2 linked regions of the Elephas maximus indicus genome follow. The protein of the gene in region 2 interacts with the protein of the main gene of each other region in a pairwise test. Links are inferred from orthologs where the notes say so. Each region holds a gene or a part of one and is shown on either strand. Other genes may lie near its edges.

Region 1 (7,681 bases), on a different chromosome or scaffold from region 2:
TAAAAATGTATACAATTAAAAACAAAAGACTAAAATCCAAAACTTTCCCCAAACTCTATTTCTATTAAAAGAACAAACATCCTCAATGTCTTTACATAAACAACCCTACCATCTACAATTTCACGTCTTAATGTTTCCTTCAATTATTCAGTGCTTCTTGTTCTTTCTTTCAAGGACCGTAAAGTACTATAGCAACTATCCTGCCCAAATGCTGCATTCTGAAAAGCACATGGGTACCTGGTAAATTCTTAAAGAGCTCTCTACCAGTTGCTAAAATTAATCTCCAACTCCTTTAAAAAAAAAAAACAAACTTCAATTTCTCCACTTTAATCAAACCAGTGGAACGATTTTTAAGGGCTGTGGTGGTTCAGAGTTAGAATTCTTGCCTCCCATGAAGGATACCCAAGTTTACTTGCTGGCCAATGCACCTCATTATGCACAGCCACCACCCATCTGTTAGTGGAGGCCTGGGTGTTATCAGCCATGCAGGAGTCACCATGAGCTGGGTGCCGACTCACAGCAACTAACAACATCCTTAAAACCCTTGACTTGAAATATACCCTAGTAGCTCTTACTTACAATCTACTTACACACTGTCAGCATTTTCCTAGAGTTCTATTCTGTGATTTAATGTATCGTTTTAACAGCTTTTAAAATATTTTGTTACCCCCAATTAACACATAAGATGAGCAAAGAAAACTTCGATTATCTTTTACATGCAGTGGATGCTCACTAGAAACTGATGACCAACTACTCATTATAATTAGTTGATTTTCTTCAATTTAGATTTATACTTCATAAATACATTCAAAGTATTTTTACGTATTACTTTTAAGATTTTTTTTGAAGTTGTATTTAAAGATAACCCCCAATTACCAGTAAAAGTAATAAAAATTCATGACAAGAAACTGACCAAAAAATCACTATAGAGGGACAAGTTACTGTATTGCACTATAACATTAGCAACGTAATCATTTTTAGATAATGTTTGAAGGTCTTAGACCCTAATCTTGAATTGAAACTGTAACTATCTCCTTCAAAGAGAATATGATTTTAGGATTGGACAAAGTCTTAAAAGTCATCTATTTAAACTGATCCCATCAGAGGCTGCAGAGACTTAATGCCTTAATCTCTTTTAACTTTCTGTTAAATTACATCATAGCACTTGGAGTTTTCTGTTAGTTTAAAGGATTATTTATCTGAGTCTAGCAAAACAGGTGTCTGATATGCTAGCAATCCAGTTACAGTTAACAATAACCAGGAGGAAACAGTGTAACAGCTTTTACCAGCCAGCTTACTCAAAAAACCCAGATAAACTAACAAGTACTAAATTACGTAAAAAGGTCTAAAAGGTAGTAAGCCAGTAGCAGGGAGAAACAGCTCACTGGATAACAATTCATCCCCAAATCTTTACTGATTACTGATCTTCCTGAGGAGCTAAATCAATTTCCTTAAAGACCCTTGGGGAAACCCTTGTGGTGTAGTGGTGCGACGGCTGCTAACCAGAAGGATGGCAGTTCGAATCCACCAGGTGCTCCCTGGAAACTCTATGGGGTGGTTCTACTCTGTCGTATAGGGTCACTATGAGTCCGTATCAACTTGACGGCAGTGGGTTTGGTTTTGGGTTTAAACATCCTTACTGTTCAGATCCTCACCCTACCTTCCACCCAAAGAGGGGTAGGTGGGTCTTAACAGCATCTCACTTAAAAAACTGATAGCACGACTACTATCCAGTAAGCCTTTTTGCGGTTCATGTAAAATACTATGGGAGGTACTGCACTTACGTTATAGAAAATAAAGACTTCTACACATTCAGATACTGATATGCTTTCGACAATAACAGAAAGAAAACTAAATGTCACCTCTTTATCATCCTTAATCATGGCCTCTCCAGTGAAGCCTTCCTTAGCTCCACTTCCTCTCTTCCCCCTCAATAATTTACCCATCAACGTTCCTACAGCATTTTTTGTGTAAAGGACCTAGTTTTACGTTTTTAGTTACTTGTAGTCTCCATGACACTGCGCTAGGACCTAGGTCAAATATACAAAAAGCACTACACTTACTAACTTTAAATCTTCAACACCTGGCACGGCAATAAATATTTAACAGGCTACTTTAAGGAATGAATGGTTCGCTATTTAAACTGACAAGCTGGGGAGCGGTGGTGAGGGAAGGGAGAATGAGGTAGGAATTTGACATTAAAACGGGCTTCTAGTTCCCACCAACTTAGACCTTATCGCCATACACCAGTACGAAGTTAATTCTCTGGTACAATTTCTGGTTCTCGGTTTACTCTTAACAGTACAGTTAGTAACTGTCAATAACATACTGCAAAAATAATCCCGGCTGGAAGATATGTTCCAATCTGCACGAACATCTTGACACTGTCAAAGGAGCATTTTAAATCTAAAACGGGGAGGCTCTTGCCGTTTCTATCTACACTAGAAAGGCCTGAGAACAAGGCTTTATCGGCTCTCAAATACGCAAATACAAGATCCTTTGACTAAGCTCTTTCACTTCTCGACCCTCTCGCGATTTCTTCGATCCCCTCCCCCGCCCCGTCCCCCTTCTTACGCAGGTCTCTGATTCTTGCGTGTGGACCTCTCCAAACCTTACGACTCTAACTAAAGAAGGGAGTCATTTCTCAAGTCTATCTTTTGGTTCCATCCCCTCAGCCCTCCCCCTTCGGGCCACCTCAGGCGCTTCCTCCTTCATCCACCCCCTCCAGGCCTACCCCAGCCTCTAGTAGGCCTCAACCCTCATCCACTCCGCCATTATTATTTACATCGTCGTCTGGGGAGGCGGAACGCTTCACCCCATGCGGGTGGGACTCCCTGGCAGCACTCATCGTTGTGGAGATCCAGACGGGAAATACCGAACCCACTCGCCGTTCTCCTCAGCCGTAGCGACAGCACCCTGCAATCTACCACCGGCCCAAGCAGCAACTCTCCCGAACGCAGAGCTCCACCGGGCCTTCTCGGCCATAGACGTCACTGCCGCGGCCCCTCGCCACCCCGGAGCACTCTGGGAGTTATAGTTTTGTAGCTCACTCCACACCTGCCTGACAAAGGAGATGGATGAGTAACTAAAACTACAACTTCCAGGAAGCCTAGCGGCATAGGTCGCGCACTGCGGCGGGCGTGCCCACCGAACCTCCGCCTTCTTTGGCTGGCGACGAGAGCTTTCCCGCGGAATGGTATGGCGGTGGACGTTGGTTGAAAGCTTCGTCGGCGCAGAAAGAGATTTATATTGGGTTTATCACATTTCACCGTGAGACGCTGCGCCCTTGGCCAATGCATCCATCGTAATTAAGCACCTACGTTTAAATGTAATGTTATTTGAGGCTTATCGGATTCTTTAGAGTGCCATTCCCGCAGGACAAAAAACCTTAAAAAAAAAAAAAAATGGCTGCCACCGTTCCCTAGTCTTTGATGTCTGTTCCTAGCAGGGGATTTCTAAGTGGCCGGCGGCGCCTCTTTCTGGAAGGTTCTGACGAATATCCCACCCATTTCTCACTCTTAACCTAAGCCAAAGTCCACTTGAGGGAATTCTGTATCCTTTCTGAGGTGGTTCGACCTTGCTGCTGATGTGTAGGCATAGTATCTGGGCTTTCACCAAGTGAAGTTCATCTCTGCCAGAAACCCCTGTATCTCTTTTCATTTTTTTGTTCAGGTGAAATAAAATTAACCATTTTAAAAGCTACAATTTAGAGGCCTATAGTACTTTCCCAGTGTTGTGAAACATTATCTAGTTTCAAGACAATTTCATCACCCCAAAAGGAAACTCTGTACTTAACCATTAAGCAGCACGATTCCATTACCCACTTCCGCCAGACCGTGGTGACCACTTGTCTACTCAGAAAGCCCTATATCTTGCTGCAGTGTCAGGGCGTCTGAACCTGGCTGCCTTCAGCTATAGAAAATATTCAAAGCCCTATATCTTGCTGCAGTGTCAGGGCGTCTGAACCTGGCTGCCTTCAGCTATAGAAAATATTCTGGCAGGAGCCTTGTCCTCGGTTTTTCTGAAGCTTTCTGACTTTGATCAAAGATTGGATTTATTTATTTAAAAGCGAAAATCAGTAAATGGTATGACACCACAGATCTACTCTGATATTGGGAACTGAGAGTAGTCTGTGAAACAATGCTTAAGTACTAGCTTTTTTGAACTTGGTAATTTCTACAGTTTGACTGTCTGTCTGTGCAGAAATATTTCTTTCCTAGATTTCAGATGAGGCCGTGAACCTTTAATAGCACTGTGACCAGTGGATGACAGTTTTTTAATTTGTGTAGTCATGTATCCAGATTCTGCTCCTTTCTTTTGGAAACAGAGGATTAAGATAATAATAGCACTAGGATAATATTAAAAAAAAGATTTTGAATTGAGTTATATTTTACAAGTGTAGCCAAACAAAGGGAAACTTAATCTATTATTTCTGTGGTAAAAATTTGTAAATCAAGTCAGGAGTGAACTCATGTTGAGAGAAAACACTTTTGGAAATAGTTGCTTCCTCCTTGCTATGAATTAAAATATTTTGCCTACTTCATGATTCGACTGCGGTTCTGTAGATATCATTACAACGAAATGACACCTAAGTTACGTCCAGTGTGTCTGACAAATTGTAATATGTATAACTTAGAAGTCTTATCTATATAAGCAATAAACAAATGGGATGGCTGAAAGGTAATTTAGACTGCTAACAGAATTCTGAAATAAAAAGGACTGTCAACAGGGTTGGGTAGTTACTAAAAAGTTTGTCATAGTCATCTAGTGCTGCTGTAACAGAAATACCAGAAGTGGATGGCTTTAACAAAGAGAAATTAATTTTCTCACAGTCTAGTAGGCTACAAGTTCAAATTTAGGGTGCTGGCTCCAGAGGAAGGCTTTGTCTTTCTGTTGGCTCTGGAGGAAGGTCCTTGTCATCAGTCTTCCCTTGGTCTGGGAGCATTTCAGCGCAGGAGTCTCAAGCCTAAAGGATGTGCCCTGCTCCTGGTACTTTTTTCTTGGTGGTATGAGGTCTCCGTGTCTCTGCTTGCTTCTCTCTTTTATATCTCAAAAGAGGTTGGCTTAAGACATTATCTAATCTCATAGATCTCACCAATATAACTGCTGCTAATCCATCATATTACCTCATAGTAATAGGATTTACAACACAAATCACATCAGATGATAAAATGGTAGAAAATCATGCAATACTAAGAATCATGACCTAGCCAAGTTGACAGATATTTTAGGTGGACATGATTCAGTGCATGAGATAGTTCTAACTATACTAACTGATGAAAATCCAGAAAAGTTTAATGGGCTAGCAACATGTCTTTTATTTCTTCACCAGAATTGTTGGCACCTGGATGGCTAAACCTTCAAGCTATCATAGAACAAGATCACAAGCCAAAAAGTAACATAGGAAATAATAAAGACTGGATCACTTTATGAGATTTTGCCCAGTTTAATATACAGAAGCCTATAGGTAAGGATGAAATTATACAGTGTTATAGAATGGTAATGCATATGTGGCACAGAAACCCAATAATGCTGTTCTTCCTTGTATTATAAAAACAAAAAGATACTCTATTACAAGTGGAACTTTGAAATATTTCATCTCTACTTTTTTGTTTCTGTAGTTTCTAGCACAGTTCCTGACTCAAAATAGTCAATAAGTATTTTTGAATTAATTTACATAGTGTAACAGAGTAGCATCTCATATGAGGCCTAGAAACTAAGTGATGACTGTCGTTTTTTGGGTTGTAAAGACAAGGAATGGAGAGTCTGTCACTAATAGAACTTTTAAATACTTTCTTGAGGTTAGAGACCATGCTTTCCTAATTTTTTGTATACCCCATGTTTAGCACATAGTAAGCAGTCATAAATATTTGTTCAGTACATACATTAATATTTCAATCAAATCATGACTGAACATAAGCTATAGGATACTAATAACATAGTTAACAAACATAAAGAGGAAATAAAAAAGCCAAAGGATGTGCTCTGTACAGAAAATCTGCTGCTGTGTTACGTGAGACTAAATAAAAATTCCTAGACAATAATCAGAGCCCTGGTGGTGCAGTGGTTAAGAGCTCAGCTGCTAACCAAAATATTGGCAGTTTGAGTCTACCAGCTGCTCCTTGGAAACCCTATGGGGGAGTTCTACCCTGTCTTATAGGGTTGCTTTGAGTCGAAATCCACTCGACAGCAATGAATAGACCAAATAATCATAACTATCATTTACTGAATACCTACCATGCACCGTATACTTTGCTAGGTGCTTTTTATAATGATGTCAAAGCCTCACAACAGTTTGTAAGAGTGTTTAAAAATAAAAACAAAAAACAACCAAACCCATTGCTGTTGAGTTGATTCTGACTCATAGTGACCCTAAAGGACAGAGTACAGCTGCCGCATAGGGTTTTAGGTGAGTATATATATATATATATATAATAAAGCTCAAGAAAAGTTGAATAACTTGCTCGAAATCATATAGCTTGTGAGTGACTATGCTGAGATTTAATACTTTAATACTTAAGACTCTCCAGCTCCAAAGCTGTACATTCTCCATTGTGTCAATATAGCAACATTTATATAGGGAAACCCTGGTGGAGTAGTGGTTAAGTATTACAGCTGGCAACTAAAAGGTCAGGAGTTCAAATCCACCAGGTGCTCTTTGGAAACTATGGGGTAGTTCTACTCTGTCCTATAGGGTCGCTGTGAGTCAGAATTGGGTTTTTTTTTTTTTTTTTTTTTAAAGCATGTGTCAGGCAGCGTGCTAAATTTGAGATCAGAATGAATAATATATAGTCCTTCACCTCAAGGAATTTACAGCTTGGTGGGGAAGGAATGATTAAGTGGCATGAGTAAATTACAAATAAAATGCTATGGGAGCAGAGCGGGGGAAAGGGGCATGTATTCAGGGAATGGTTAATGTCCAGGGTGACTGAAACCTGTTATGCATGAAGTATTGTAGCATGAGACCAAATTGTAGGTTGATCAAAGCCAGGCTGTGAAAAGCCTTGAGTTTGAATCTCTCACTACACATGTTCAAGTTCAGTTAATCTCTATCAGTCCTCTAATGTTTCCACAGTTAAATCCACTTTACATATCATCTTTTGAAAAAGGAATGTAGAAACTTTCCTGTTCAAAAACTTCCTAGAACTTCCCATTTTATGCAGAATTAAGTCAATATAATTGAAGGTCTACATTCTGACCTTAATCATCAATTCCAGTCTTATTTTCTACTGCTACACTTTACTTATCTTGATTACTCTGCCATCACTAGTTACAACAAAATATGATAGATGCTAAAATAGAGGTATGAACAAAGGTACAAGTCTTGCTAGCTAATTTAGACTGTAAACTTATTTTGGGTAGGATCTAAGCTTTGCACTATGACTTGTATATGAACCATCTTTCGATAAATTTTTGTATTAATACACGAATGGATGAGATCAGAGAGGAGCAGATTTATGTGGTAAGATAATAAGTTTTAAAGTAAATGTTGAATTTAAAGTACTGGTGGGACACTAAGTGGAGCTGTATAGTAAGTAGTTAGAAATACAGCCTTCAAAGTTAGGAGAGAGCCATAAATTTGAAAATAATCCATCTAGAGATAGTGGTCAAGCTAGGACTGTAGTTGAGCTCACCCATCAAGCATGTAGAAGAGAGGTACTTGGGGGAAGAAAATAACATT
Region 2 (7,443 bases):
CACACTGGAATAAGTCGTTTTCTGCCGTGAGGTCAGTGAAGAGGCTCCTGTTTCCCCTGATAGACTCCAAGGAAGCACTCACAGTCACGGTCTCATTCAGGTGGCTCAGGAGGAGGCAGCCCTTCTGAGGGGTCTCAGTGTGGAGCAGGGAAGGGACCAGGACCATATACTGCCTGGGAAGGTGGCGGGGGGTGGGGGGAGGGGACAAGTTCAGTTAGAAGAGAGACATTCTTGTCAACAGCACTATTCTTCCATAAGGACCTGTGGTGGTACAGCGGTTAAGAGCTAGGCTGCTAACCAAAAGGTCAGCAGTTCGAACCCACCAGCTGCTCCTTGGAAAACCTCTGGGGCAGTTCTACCCTGTCCTAATAGACTCCACGGTGACAGGTTTGTTTTGTTTTTTTGGTTTTTCGTAACAATTACTGTTACCATCATTAGTTTTACATCAAGATGAAAATGAAATTAATCTCTTCTGTTAAGTGGCATGCATGAGAATGCTTTCCCCTTTCCATCAGCACTGCCATGCAGTGAACATTCCACTTGAGGTGGGCTTTAAAAATATTAAAAAATATTAAATGCCTCACTTTAAGGAACCCCAATATGTAAGCATCTGACTTCAAATTTTAAATGTCAGTTATGTTTAATCTGACTCTAAAAAGAAAGCTCACAGGTGTGTGGCTACTACAAAACCAATCAATCTACAGAACTTTCATTATCTATCTACCTATCTGTACAGAGAGATTTTGACATATATTGAGGTATATATATTTATATATACAGGAGGTAAAAGATATATATCTGACAACCTTGTGAAAATGATATGGCAAGTATTTCCTTTCATTTTACAGATAAGGAATCTGAGGTTCAAAGAGAGTGAGTCATTACTTCAGAGTTTAAAGTCTCAGTTGTGGTAAACAACTAACCAAGTCTTAGCGTATTACCTAACCATGAATGTTTGCATTTAAATATTTGCCTGTCAGCTCCTGGCTAGACAATAGCTTCCCCCAAAGAATGGTCCTCTAGTGACTGAAGTTTGGATCTTAGTAACTCACGAACAAGGCAGAAGCTTTCCCAATACCCTCATGGATAACATAAGATTGACCCTGTAGTTTTCAAATATTCTTGCTCTCAGAACTCCTAAAATAATTTTTTTGGCATTGTGCACTCCTTTCATATTTTCAAGGAAAGTTCCGTTTGGTAATCTCAAGTTTAAATAATAGCAAAAGATATTATTTCTTGCGACATTTAAATTAAAGCTTCTATTACTATTTTATAAGATCCTCATAAAATCTTAAATACCATAGTGATAGGATGCCCGATACAATCTATTTTAAAATATTTTAAGTTCTTTTTTTAATCTCAGGAACTTCTTCCCTTTTTTCCTCCTCGAACTTGAATTTCTACACCACTTACTGCACAGAACTTTATCCTAAGATTTTATGCTTCAAAATATTTTATGAGTCACTCTTACTTCTTTTTTAGCAAGTATATATGCATAACATACACACATACATATATACAATATTATATGTGGGTATATACATTCAACTTTAAGTCTTCTTCTAAATTTAATGTGACGATATCATTTTAGAAAACCCTGGTGGCATAGCGGTTAAGTGCTACAGCTGCTAACCAACAGGTCGGCAGTTCGAATCCTCCAGGCACTCCTTGGAAACTCTATCAGGCAGTCCTACTCTGCCCTATAGGGTCGCTATGAGTCAGAACCAACTCGACGGCAGTGGGTTTGGTTTTGGTATATCATTTTAAGCGTTAAAAATTTTCTTCAGAATTATTTTTAACTCAGTATACAATTGATCAAAACAAAATAAATATATTACAAATTCTGATTCATACTTATTAGATATAATAAAGATGTTCTTTTGAAGTACATCTTTAATGATAATAATAAGCTGGGTTTTTTTCCCAGTCAATTTATGTATCCAGAAATGAATATTTCTTATTGCAAGAATGCAACGAGATCTAACATTAATTCTGTTCTTAATTCTGACTTGTGTAGATGTAAGTACGGAGAAAAATTGCTCACGGAAATAAGTAAATAAATGAGAGGTAACACAGTTATATTGTCATCCACATCTTGCAACTTCCTCGGCCTTATATGCCGAGAATCACCCAGTGCCCCGTAAAGTTATTTTTAATCATCTATGAGATGATTTCTTTAAATACGTTGAAACAAAGAATTTGTCACCACCTGACCTGAAAAAGGATTTTCTCCCTTGTTATTAGAACCCCTTCACTTTCCCAACATCAACACCGGTATTTCTAATTGTTCTTTATTTGGCACGCTAGAGGTTTTTCTACCCCAGGGCAATGCTCCATAGTTTAAGATCTGATGGAGGGAGAGGCTTGTCTTTCATAAAGTGGAAGATGGCCAATTCGGAAAAGGGAAGTAAGAAAGGGTAAACAGCATAGCCTTAAGCAGATCAAAATGAATTTTATATATGCGAGGATCTGGAAATGGATTCCTTTAAAAGTATCAATTTCCGATGCATCTTAAAAAGGAATTTAGAGGAAATGTAGAGATTCAGAGGTCCAGAGAGTCGGAGGGAAAGTTATGAATAAGAGAAGAATTAATACATTGTTACAAAACCTCATGGTTGGAAGAGACATCAGAGAAAAGAAAGTGGCAGTTTCATAGAAAAGACGAATGATACAAAAGGCAAACATGAAATAAAGGAAAAGACAAAATTCAAACTGCGTGGAACTCACGGGTTTCCAGAGACTGTGGGCAGGGAGACCAGGAGGAGGAGAATAAGACTTGGATGAAGAAGCTTCTTCTTCGCCATGCTGCAGGGAGAAGGGACCTGAGGAGACCAGATTGTTTCGTACCCTACTCCCTGCACTCAGTCTGGTCCCCAAAGCACATCGGAGCAACTGGACTTTATGAGGCACTCTCTGTGTAAACAGGAAGTTCCACCCACACAAGGTCTCTAAACAAAGTTGAGGTTTCCAAACATTTTCTGAAAGGGTCACTGCTCTCAGTGATGGCCTAATTACAGTCAAGGTTAATTCCTGGCAGGCTAAATAGAATTCCTGGAGGGATAAAATCCACATTCCTGTTAGCACTCACTGTCTCTGAGTTTTACTGCAAAGCAGCTAATCAGGGCCTTTCCAAACCTTCCTTCCCCACCTCCTCCCAGTGCCTTTTATGGCTCTATTCACATCTCTTGCTTGCATAGTTGACAATGGAGGCTGCAGCTTGAGCAACAATGGCCAGCTCAAAGTGACATCTCACTACAAGTCACTGTGCCTGCAAGTTCTCCATTAGCTATGCCTAACTTAAATGTTGAGGGTGCTTCAGAATTCAGGAATCCTCTGCAGAAATGATAATGCTTCTGGGTTGAAGTAACACCTTATTCAACTAATAGACTTTTACTGTAGAGCTATTACTGGATTGCGGATGAGGAGCCATGCCCTAGATGAATGGGAATAGAAACTAGTTTGTATATGAAGTAACTAAAAAAAAAAAAAAAAAAAAAAAAGTGAAACGATAAAAGTAGCAAGATCTCAAAAAATGAGTTTTGTCCTGTTGGGCCTAACAAAGATTCCAATTGCCTTTGCCATCGACTATACAAACACATTTCCTTACTACCTTCTGAATCTTCTACTCCTCTCCAATCTTTGAATTATACAGACTATTTCATTTATTCATTCATCCATTCACTCATTCATCTATTCAGTTGTTTTATAAGCATTTATTGAGCCTGGTAGGACTAGGCAATATGCAAAATTCTGGAGATAGGATGGTCAATTAACAGATCTGCACTAAAATTTCTTACATCCTTGTGGGGGTGAAAACAGACAACTAAGCAATAAAAATACAGTAGCCAAACATCATCTGAGAAGTTCAGGGCACTCTGGGAGCATTAAACAAAAAAAAAAAACCTATTGCTATCAAGTTGATTCCGACTCATAGTGACCCCATAGGACAGAGTAGAACTGCTCCATAGGGTTTCCAAGGAGCAACTGGTATATTTGAATTGCCGACCTTTTGGTTCGCAGCCAAGCTTTTAACCACTGCACCACCAGGGCTCCTAGGCGCACATAATCCAGATTTGGGGCCTTGGTGTACCAGAGAATAAAACGTTGCCTGGTTGTGCTTCATCTTCATGATTGCCAGCGTGTTTGAGTGCCACTGTTGTGGCTATTATGCCAATCCGCCTCTCTGAGACTCTCCCTTACCCTCGATAGCACCCTACTTCACCAAACATGATGTTCTCCTCCAGCGATTGATCCTTCCTGGTGATGGATCCAAAAAGAGTGGGTTGGACAACGTTCTGTTGAGATCCATAGAGTTTTCACTGGTTAATTTTTGGAAGTAGCTCACCAGACCTTTCTTCCTAGTCTGTCTTACCCTGGGAGCTTTGCTGAAACCTGTCCACCATGGGTGACTCTGCTGGTTTTTGAAAAACTGGTGACATAGCTTCTAGCTTCACAGTCACCACATGTACATCACCACAGTAGGACAAACTGACAGACAGGTGGTGGATTCTAAGTGTAGAAAATGACGTAGGCAGAGACCTAGAACTTGAGAACAATCATGGCACATTCAGCGAACTGAGAAGAAGCTGGTATGGAGGAAATGCCTGTCTACTTAGAAAAGTGGTGGAGCTGGAGAGACAAGCTGGCTGCAAATCAGAAATGGCCTAGTCAATAATATGAGGGTGTTTGGGGAGTAGTCAGTGAAATGGATTCTCGGATTGGTTTCCTGGATAGATCACTCTTACTGAAATGTGGAAGACTGACCGAAGGAGGCATTTGAGAGTCAACTGCAATAATATAGGTGAGGGCTGATAGTATTTTGAATTAGGGTATTGGAACTAAGGGTTGGAAAGAAGTTGACACATATACATAATATTTAGGAGCAAAATTATAGTATGTGGTGAATATATGAATATAAAAAGTAAAGGAGAAGGTGCCTTCCAATTTTCCTGGCTGGTCACTGAGTGAATCATGTTCCTTTAACTGATAGAGTGAAACAGAGGGTTGGTGGGAACAGAAGGAGGACAGAAAGGCTGAGGATTGGGAAGATAAAGAGTATAGTTTTAGAAAGTGCTTGTGGAATATTCTACAGCTTAGTACAATGCGGTCTAATAAAAATGTAATGTGAACCACCTATGTAATTTAAATTTTTCTAGAAGCTACATTAAAAAAATAGCAAAAAACAGAAGAAATTAATTTTAATAATGTATTTTGATTAACCCAATATGTTCAAAACATTATGAACATTATCAATATAAAATCATTAAAAAGATGTTTTACATTCTTTTTTTTATACCAAGTCTTCAAAATTTAGTATGTTTTTTATACTAACAACACATATCAATTTAGACTAGCCACATTTCAAGTGTTCAGTAGTCCCGTGTGGCTGCCGTTGCTGGCTGCTGTTACTGTTAGCTGTTCTTGAGGCCACTCCCGACTCCGTCCTATAGGGTCGCTATGAGTTGGAATCGACTCGAGGGCACTGGTTTTTTTGTGTTGAGGCCACCCCCGACTCATGGCAACCTCATGTGTTACAAAGTAGTACTGCTTCTCAGGGTTTTCTTAGCTATAATCTTTATGGAAGCAGTTTGCCAGGCCTTTCTTCAATGGAGCCACCCAGTGGGTTCAAATCACCAATCTTGAGGTTAGCAGCAGATCACAAACTGAGTGGCTACCCATTTGGCATAGTAAACTTAGAGCAATGTTTTCCAATTATGGGTCACAGTCTATTAGTAAGTTATGATTTTATTTTAGTGAGTCATGACCAGGATTTAAAAAATGAAATAGAAAATAATAAAATAGAAAACAGTGTATCAAGCCAAATTAGTGAAAATGTTGAATTTGGAAACATTGTTTCCTATATATATATGACAGAGACTGTTGGCCATCCCCCACTATCCATCCTACCTTTAATAAAATAAGTCCTGAGTTTTTGCTGAACACAAACTGCTTAGCTAAAGATTTTATTTCCTTGCCTCCTCCCTTGGTCCCTTGAAGCTGGATGTGTGGCCATATGACTTCTGATGATTGGATGTAAATGGAAGTTATGTATGTAACTTTTAGGTCATGGTTTAAAAAGGCAGAGTTATGTTCTGTGCATTCCTTTTCTTCCTTATCCCCGGCTGAAATATGGAGATAATGACTGTAGTTGGAGCTTCTATCGTAGATTATAAGATGGAAACTGTGTGCCAAGGAAAGCAGAGCAACAAGCAAGACACAGCCTGAGTTTCTGAATCTTCAAAAGTCCACTTCAGACTGGATTTTCACATGAGAGAGAAATGCTTAATATGGGTAGGTACAGGTGTGTACATGAGCGAGAATGGATAGAAGTATCTATAAACCAAAGCATCAAATCCACTGCTGCTGAGTCGTTTCAAAAATTATGATCTGCATCCTAGTGAAGTCAGTAACATCTGGGGTCTTAAAAGCTTGTGAGTGCCCATCTAAGACACGACTGTGGGTCTCTACTCACCAGGAGCAAAACAATAAGAAGGAAACCAAAAGCTCAGAGAAGAAACAAGTCTACACGAGCCACAATCTAATCTACCCTGAGACCAGAAGAACTAGATGGTGCCCGGCTACCACCATTGACAGTTCTGACTGGGGTCACAATAATTGGTCCTGGATAGAATTGGAGAAAAATATGGAGCAGAACTCAAATTCTTATTAACAACAACCAAAAAAAAAAAAAAAAGTCAGACAAACTGGAACAGTAGAGAATAGAGGAACCCCCGAGACTATTGGCCTGGGACATTCTTTAAACCTAGAACTGAGCCTTTCGCTTGAGATCATCTTTTAGCAAAACAGCAGAGTGGCACATGAAATAAAGGATATTACTTGTTAGATCAGTGCCCTACTTAAAAGCCACCAGTATGAGACCAAAAGGTCAGCAATTATACAAAAGCAAAGATGAGACAATAAGGGGGCAGGGAAACTGAAATACTGGAAAGGGAACAAACAGAAGATCATTAAAGAGAATGTTGACACTTTGTGATAAATGTAACTAACATCACTGAACAATATGTGTGGAAATTGTCAAAAAGGAACCTAACTTGCTGTGTAAACTTTCACCAAAACTCAAGAAAATATTATTAAAAAAAAAAGATTAATTACTTAAAGTAGAAGAGACAAGGTTAATAGCACTTATCTGGTGCCTCACCATACGTTACAAAGATGATCTGCAAGGACTGTTATGGCCAAATCCCTGGCTATCCATGTCAAATGTCACTGTGTAATCACATAATCGATTGGCTGATAATTTTTCTGCTGGATTTAGAGTCAAGGAGAGCTTTGGGAGCCAGCTGTTTCGGTGTCTGTGTAGTGCAGAAGCCTGACTGCAGCTGGTTAAGGAATGAAGACAACAGGAGGAAGCAAAGCCAGTTTCCCAGAGTCTGTCTGAAGTGAAGGAGAATGATATGGCAGTACTTGGCAAAGATGTCAGGA

The links.
Region 1: the proteins of A2M (region 2) and C7H11orf58 interact in a two-hybrid assay, tested with the Homo sapiens proteins (2 studies listed by BioGRID and IntAct). The link is inferred for Elephas maximus indicus from reciprocal best matches to the Homo sapiens genes A2M and C11orf58.

What each region holds. Positions count from the first base shown.
Region 1 is NC_064825.1:72,135,805-72,143,485, reverse strand, and holds the start of C7H11orf58 (small acidic protein), read right to left. Parts: upstream 3,006-7,681; 5' UTR 2,849-3,005; coding exon 2,786-2,848; intron 1-2,785.
Region 2 is NC_064822.1:66,266,907-66,274,349, forward strand, and holds the start of A2M (alpha-2-macroglobulin), read right to left. Parts: upstream 3,001-7,443; 5' UTR 2,805-3,000; coding exon 2,728-2,804; intron 174-2,727; coding exon 1-173. UniProt on the Homo sapiens protein: Is able to inhibit all four classes of proteinases by a unique 'trapping' mechanism. This protein has a peptide stretch, called the 'bait region' which contains specific cleavage sites for different proteinases.